2 linked regions of the Macaca fascicularis genome follow. The protein of the gene in region 2 binds, or shares a complex with, the protein of the main gene of each other region. Links are inferred from orthologs where the notes say so. Each region holds a gene or a part of one and is shown on either strand. Other genes may lie near its edges.

Evidence for each region. The genes of interacting proteins can lie anywhere in the genome.
Region 1: the proteins of PRIM2 (region 2) and PRIM1 are in contact, whole or in part, in a crystal structure (PDB 5EXR), measured with the Homo sapiens proteins. The link is inferred for Macaca fascicularis from reciprocal best matches to the Homo sapiens genes PRIM2 and PRIM1. Residues at the interface, in NP_000938.2 of Homo sapiens: Glu165, Ala168, Ser169, Pro171, Ser172, Phe188, Ala189, Leu192, Phe195, Arg196, Gly197, Arg198, Val200, Tyr201, Leu202, Glu203, Asp204, Gly205, Phe206; in NP_000937.1 of Homo sapiens: Lys147, Glu148, Asp149, Phe150, Gly151, Phe152, Ala180, Val181, Gly184, Ile185, Glu187, Tyr188, Ser190, Leu191, Lys193, Lys207, Ile208, His209, Pro210, Ile212, Arg213.

What each region holds. Positions count from the first base shown.
Region 1 is NC_088385.1:63,560,933-63,564,951, forward strand, and holds the start of PRIM1 (DNA primase small subunit), read right to left. Parts: upstream 2,805-4,019; 5' UTR 2,728-2,804; coding exon 2,625-2,727; intron 2,376-2,624; exon of another isoform or gene 2,247-2,375; intron 1,637-2,246; coding exon 1,479-1,636; intron 1-1,478. UniProt on the Homo sapiens protein: Catalytic subunit of the DNA primase complex and component of the DNA polymerase alpha complex (also known as the alpha DNA polymerase-primase complex - primosome/replisome) which play an essential role in the initiation of DNA synthesis.
Region 2 is NC_088378.1:114,362,238-114,365,799, forward strand, and holds part of PRIM2 (DNA primase large subunit), read right to left. Parts: intron 2,669-3,562; coding exon 2,573-2,668; intron 559-2,572; coding exon 421-558; intron 1-420. UniProt on the Homo sapiens protein: Regulatory subunit of the DNA primase complex and component of the DNA polymerase alpha complex (also known as the alpha DNA polymerase-primase complex) which play an essential role in the initiation of DNA synthesis.

The sequences.
Region 1 (4,019 bases), on a different chromosome or scaffold from region 2:
CACAGATTCTGAGTTGTTTTAAAAGGATCACTCTAGGTTCCGTATTGAGAATGGACTCTAGATTCTACAAGGGCAAACTGTTAGGAGGTTTTTACAGTAATTCAGATGAGATGATAATGTTGGTAGCACTGGTAGTAGTGGCTGGATTTTAGATATACTTATGGTAGAGCCAAAGGGATTTCCTAATAGAATGGGTATGGGAGTGTGAGAAAGAGAGGAATCAAGAATAACTCCAGGGGTATGAAAGAAAAATAATACAAATATTTATTATGACTGAACTGTACACTTAAACGTGGTAAAGATAATAATTTTATATGTATATTTTACCTCAATAAAAATAAACAATTAAAAGAAAAAAAGAGGCCGGGTGTGGTGGCTCACGCCTGTAATCCCAGTACTTTGGCAGGCCGAGATGGGTGGATCATGAGGTCAGGAGATCGAGACCATCCTGGCTAACACGGTTAAACCCAGTCTCTACTAAAAAATAGAAAAAATTGGCCGGGTGTGGTGGCGGGCGCCTGTAGTCTCAGCTACTCGGGAGGCTGAGGCAGGAGAATGGCGTGAACCTGGGAGGCGGAGCTTGCAGTGAGCAGAGATTGTGCCACTGCACTTCAGCTTGGGTGACAGAGCGAGGCTCAGTATCAAAAAAAAAAGAAAAAAAAAAAAAAAAAGGGAGTAACTTCCAAGGTGGGAGAGAATGTAATTCTCTTTTATTTCCCTCTTTTTTTTTTTCGTTGATGCCAAGTCTCGCTCTGTCCCCCAGACTGGAGTGCAATGGCGCGATCTCGGCTCACTGCGACCTCTGCTTCCCGGGTTCAAGCGATTCTCCTGCCTCAGCCTCCTGAGTTGCTGGGATTACAGGCGCGTACCACCACGCCTGGCTAATTATTTCCCTTTCTTTTTTTTTTTTTTTTTTGAGACGGAGTCTCGCTGTGTCGCCCAGGCTGGAGTGCAGTGGCCGGATCTCAGCTCACTGCAAGCTCCGCCTCCCGGGTTCACGCCATTCTCCTGCCTCAGCCTCCCGAGTAGCTGGGACTACAGGCGCCCGCCACCTCGCCCGGCTAATTTTTTGTATTTTTTTAGTAGAGACAGGGTTTCACCGTGTTAGCCAGCATGGTCTCGATCTCCTGACCTTGTGATCCGCCCATCTCGGCCTCCCAAAGTGCTGGGATTAGAGGCTTGAGCCACCGCGCCCGGCCTATTTCCCTTTCTTAAATCATGTCGACTTCCTCTTCCTAGTAGCCAGTTACTCAATTTTTTTGTCCTAGTAAGAATGCAACCAATTCACTCCCAAATGATTTCATCAGTAATGTAGAATGTCAAAGAACAAAAAAGGATTAATCACTTGCCAAACAATTAAAAAGTGGCTTTTCATCTAGAATAAACTCTAAAACTTTAATCTCAAAACGCAAGCGGAATCAACCCATTCTTGGTATAGAAAATACAACAACAAAATACATCAAAAAAAGATTTCTTACTCTGTGGGAATATACTGCGCCTATATCAATCTTGTATGGATTCATTTTCTGCATCTCCTTTTCCAGATCACTCTGGTTGTTGAAGGATTGGTAGCGAATATAAATATCATCTTTCAATGTGAATGAAAATTCACGGTGTTGAAAGTAATTCTTTATCACTGCAAAATAAATGTACATTTTAAAGTTAATTTGCTACTGTATTTGGCTCAAGACATTATAACTTTAGCCAATGAGAAGTTTTTTTTTTTTCGGAAAGGGTATCTCGCTTCCTGCACTATCGCCCAGACTGAAGTGCAGGGGCTCGATATAGGCTCACTGCAACCTCCGCCTCCCGGGTTCAAGGGATCCTACCACCTCAGCCTCTGGAGGCTGTAGCTAGGACTACAGGCACGCGAGCCACCACGCCCAGATAATTTTTGTAGAGACCGGGTTTCACCATGTTGGCCAGGTTGGTCTCGAACTCCTGACCTCAGGTAATCCGTCCTCCTCGGCTTTCCAAAGTGCTGGATTACAGGCGTGAGCCGCGGCACTCGGCCCGAGAAGATGTTTTTAATGAGCCCCCTATGCTCAACACCATGGTAGATGTAAAAAAAAAAACAAAACAAAATCCCCAAGAACTAGTCTCTAATTTGAAAGCAGTTACCATTCCATATTTGCTAGGAAAAGGTACAAAAGACGAAACAGATGCATAACTATTTTAAATATGTAACGCCACCCCTCCCTCCTCGATTCGCACTAATAAATTCAGCTGCAAGGAAGAAAGTATTTCTCTTCTGCAGGAGGCTCTTCCGCTCCTGATGCAAACTATGTCTCTGCAGCTTCACGCTACACCCCAGTAACCCCCTGGGCACCGCGGCAGGTAAACGGGGCACCTAATGTGAGCTTGACCACGCAGAGGTAGGAGCGGTGGCTCTGTTTTTTTTTTTTTTTTTTTTTTTTTTTTTACCGTGTGGCCGCAGGCTGGCTATTATATCCTCTTTCAGCCCATTTACACCTAGGAAGTGGTGGGGCGGGCTCCAGAGAGCAAATGAAGGCGCGCGGCACAAAGCCTGGCGCACAGAAGGCGCTTCATATTGTCATTCTAAGGACACCCCGCCTCAAACCTCCTCACACTCCGCTCCCGACCCCATTCCTCGCCTCCGTCACCTCCGCCGTAGTTGAGCCAGCGATAGTACTGAGAGTAGGGAAAGAGCCTCCGGTAATAAAGTTTAAGCAGCTCGGGCAGCTCGGTGGGGTCAAACGTCTCCATTGAGCGCTGAACTCGACACAGTCAGGACTACCACAGGAATTGGCGGGAACATCGCGGCCGTGCGGCTCCGCTACTGCGCAGGCGCCTAGGGCGGAGGCCAGCTGCCAGCCCGGGTTGCGGCCCGCCGTCTGCCGGGGCCGCCGGGAATTGTAGTTTCCACTTGGTGCGGGCGGGGACTGCGGGAGACGCAGCAGTTGACGCTCTGCACACGCGCTCGGGCACCAGGGCCATCGCTCTTGTGGGCAGAAGGTCGTGTCCATTCCAGGAAGAAGATCTTCGGAAATGCGAGACCTATAGCATGCTGATTTAGGTTATTAAGGTGAAGTAAAAAGGATGTTCCACGCGAACTTTTTGGATGTTTTAGAAATAGCACCAGTATCTTTTAAAAACGTTTGGAGGCCGGCGCGGTGACTCATGCCTGTAACCTCAGCACTTTGGGAGGCAAAGGCAGGAGGATCGCTTGAGGCTAGGAGTTCGGGGCAACTTTGTGAGATCTGTCTCTACACAAACACACACACACACACACACACACACACACCCCTAGCCAGATGTAGTTCGGGGCAACTTTGTGAGATCTGTCTCTACACAAACACACACACACACACACACACACACACACACACACACACACACACCCCTAGCCAGATGTAGTTCGGGGCAACTTTGTGAGATCTGTCTGTACACAAACAAACACACACACACCCCCCCTAGCCAGATGTAGTTGCGTGCGCCTGTAGTCCCAGCAGCCCCAGAGGCTGGGGCGGGGCAGGCGGGCTGGGAGCGGCGGGGGGGCGGGGCGGGGCGGGGCGGGGCGGGGCGCGATCAATCGCATGAGCCTGGGAGGTCAAGGCTGTTGGGAGCCGTGATAGTGCCGCTGCACTCCAGTCTGGGCAACAGAGGGAGACCGTGTCTAAAAAAAAAAGTTTTGGAAATTAGTTCTGCATGGAATTTCGTGAATTACTAGATCCAATATGTGGAAATAAGCAAATATCAACCAAATGAGAAAAGCATAGGCTATTTATTCAGAGCTTACTATAGCAAGGGAGTCAGCCATCATCACTTGCATTTGGTAGGGACTCAAAGGCAGGCAGAGGAGTAGGAAAGCTTTATGAAAAAGGGAAGCCGTCAAGGTGTTCTTTGATTGGAGGGTGTTGGCATGGAGAAGCTGTACCTGGGCTAACGAGTAGTAGGATGCGGAATGTGATTGGTTTAGGGGTGGATGTTTGGCTTTCTTTGGTTGGACCTATGTTAGAAGCTGTGACAAAATTAAGGAAGCTGTAAGATACTAGTTA
Region 2 (3,562 bases):
TGTTAGTATTTAAGATTTTCTTCTATACTGTCTTCTACTGATACCAAATACTAATTCAGAACAGAAATCTAGGAGTTATATCTAGCACAGGCCACATTAATTGTTAAGAGCCATATATGAAGTCTATTTCAAAGGAAAAAAGACATGACCATGAAGAAACTCACAGAGGTTACTGACAAAATTAATCACTCAGCATTGGTATTAGTAGGATCAAGAAAAAAAACTTAAAAACCAACTATGAGTAGTAACAAATAAAAACCTAGGAGTTTTGGGATTAATAGTACAATATCATAAGTAACCTGAATATCATTATGAAAACTGAATTAACTTATTTCCTAGAGAAACACAGAACAAAACTACCAAGGGTATATAACTGAAAGTGTGAACATGTCAAATATGGAAATAAAGTAAAATACTTACTGCCAAAGCCTTGGACAGTTTGGCTCTAAATTCATTCAGGATGATTGCCACAATGTCCTTAAGTGGTACGTAAGCAAAGCCATCTTCCAAATAGACTTTCCTTCCTCGAAACAAATCCAGAGCATCAGCAAAAGGGATCTGAATTAAGAGTGAAACAAGGAAAATAAGTCAGCACCTGTCATTAAGAAATCCTCCTAAGTCTTCATATGTATAAAGTATAAACAAAGAAATTCATTAGTCCTAGCAGAGCCAAAAGAATAACAAAATGATTAATTTATCCTCCTTAAAACTCAACAGCACTAGCAAAGAGTGGCAGTACAAAAATATGTTCGTTTCAGAGTTATGTTTTGAAAAATAGTAACACTAAAAGGCCAAGTTGGAATACTTTCTTTTATTCCTTAACCTCTGAATTTACAAAACATAATCCCCAAGACTTCTACACATGTTGCATTCACCTCACATATCCCACACCGTATTCTGCATCAGAGAGAATCCTAATTTGTAAACAACATATTCAGTGCTGAAAATTACTTGTAAGTAAAGTAATTCCAGTTTCTTCATCTACGTTTCCATTCGCACTCCAGAGAAATATATTGAGAAAGCTAATCTCAATACTAAGAAATGGAAATAATAATAAGCATTCGGTTTTGCTATTAAAATAAGCATTTGCCCCAAGTATTTATTTTTTAAAATCTTAGATTTTTAAACCCCATGAACAATCCTAAAATTCTGAAATGAGCAAAGTATGATATTAGTAAACTGTAAAAATCATTCTTACTCTCCAATAGTTTTTCTTTTTTAAAAAAACGAGGTTTAAAAAGTAGGTGAAAAATGACTCCCAAATTGCCTATTCATTCAAGTTTTAAGGAAGAATTAAATATAAATGCATACAATTTTCTGTATATCCAACGACATCGCACACTATAAACAGATCATGTGTTTTTTAACAACTTTCAATTAATTTACCGATTTCTACAACTACAACACAGTCCCTGCCCTCATGGGCACACATGGAAAGTCAAACAGCCCTACAGGATAGAACTGTGTGATACTGCACCAAATAGGTAGCTTAGATAGGACATATTAGAGGAGCAGGTAAGAGGGTTTACTGCAATAATATAGAGAAGAAACATGAGTTCTAGTCCAAGCTCTGATACTGACTAGACTTATTTGGTGAATTTAATGAATGCCTCTAAATCTCGGCAGCCAGATCTGTAAAACTGAGAGAGGGGAGGAAGAGATAGGCTAACTGACCCTTAGGGATTCTTTAGCCATAATATTCCATGATTCTAGCTTATTAAGGTGGTCACAGAGGAAATAAAAATGCCCAAGTAGAAGCAAAAGATGACGTGAAGGCAGAGTAACTGGAAATGTGTGGTGTAAGAGAAATAAATATTGATCCCCACACTCTAAGCTTAAAAGGCTGACTGAATGATGGCCCAACAGTCGAAACAAAGAAGCTGGAATGGGGCAGGATTTTAAACTACTGGCACTCACTCATAATAATTAGCACATTCTTTTCAAAGGAAATTGTGGGGTTACAGTTATCAAATTGTAAAATGAATTTAAACTCATCCCTCTTCCCCTTCTGGAAGGGTTCATGTGAAGTAGTTACCACACTGAGTGGGGAGGGGAAACTGGGGTGGCCCAGCACTGGATGATGGAATCTGAGTAGGTTAAGGAGGGCATTCCCATAGGAAAAAAGTAGGCTTACAATGCCAGAGCCCAGTGGAATGCCAGAGACCATGAGGCAAGACACCACAATGTCAGAGGCCAAGAGAAGCGAAAGGGGCTTCCACGCAAGGCAGCAATCCAAACAGAGTGTTGGGCCAAATGGGTGATGAGGGTTTCCTGGCAGGGGACAGCCCAGTGCAGGGTGTAAGGACCCAAACAATGTGAGAAGGGTTTCCTTTAGGAAAACAGCCTGTAGGGGGAAGTCAGAGCCCAAGCAGGGTTGGGAATGCGTCTGTGGAAGGAGACAGCCCAGCAGAGAACACTGGCACACCATTAGTGCAATGAGGACAGTATCTGTGCAAGAGACGCAATAGCTGTGGTGATGAGAGGCTATAAAAATGGATTAATTAAATATGTATATAAAGCTTAATGTGACATATTTAACAAAACCTAGGAAGTATTTTACATGTTTACATACCTTATAAATGGACTCCAACACCACCTTAGATCCACTCGAATTTGGTGATGAGGCAATAATCTCCTGTTCTCGAAGAGTCTTCTCTTCATCACTTATCTAAAAAAAACATTTTAAGCTGTTATAAAAATTTGAAGTCCTCATTCAGTTTCAATAAAATGATTTCCTGTATTAATGAATACTGTTTACTTTTATTAAAAATTTTAAAACCTTGATATCTCAAATCATTTCTAACATGATATCTGAATCATTATCATTAGTGAAGGCAAAATACAGAAAAAAAATCTAAATTGAATATTCTTTCAAATTTTAACCTTGCCAGTTTCTGAAGGTATACATCAAAAGAACAGTAGCAGACAAAGAGAAAATATTTTAATGAGAAAAAGGAAAAAATTTATAATAAAACTCAGGTTAATATAGACTAAAAGTGAGCATTATCCTAATTTGAGTTATGTTAACTTATTAATCTATCCTAATTGAGGTTAGAGTGGTTTGACTATTTCTTAATTTTCTAGCCACATAAGACAATTCCAAACTTAAAACACTAGTTTTCCTAGGAAAAACTACAAATTTATTATCTCAGACTGATTATGGCCCTATAAAAAATTGATAGATCTGATAAGTAAAAGTGTTAAACTTCAAGACCAATATATATATATATTTTTGTAAATGAAGATGAAATATCAGTGACAAACTGAAGGAAATATTTACATCATCTGATATGTGAGTTAGCCTCGGTAAGCCCCTAGTTGGCAGTATGTAAGCTTTTGTAACCCAAAAGTAGTAAAACATGAACGCCAATAGTTATGTAAGTAAAAATAATAAATGCTAAATTAAAATAATAATGTGTAATATGTTCCATCTATGAAAATAGTAAAAATTAACAAGATTTAGAATATACAGTGTTAGGACAATCTTTGTGTACCATACTATGATAATATATAGCAAATAGCCTTTAAAAATGCAGATTGTAACTATTTTATTTCCAAATTA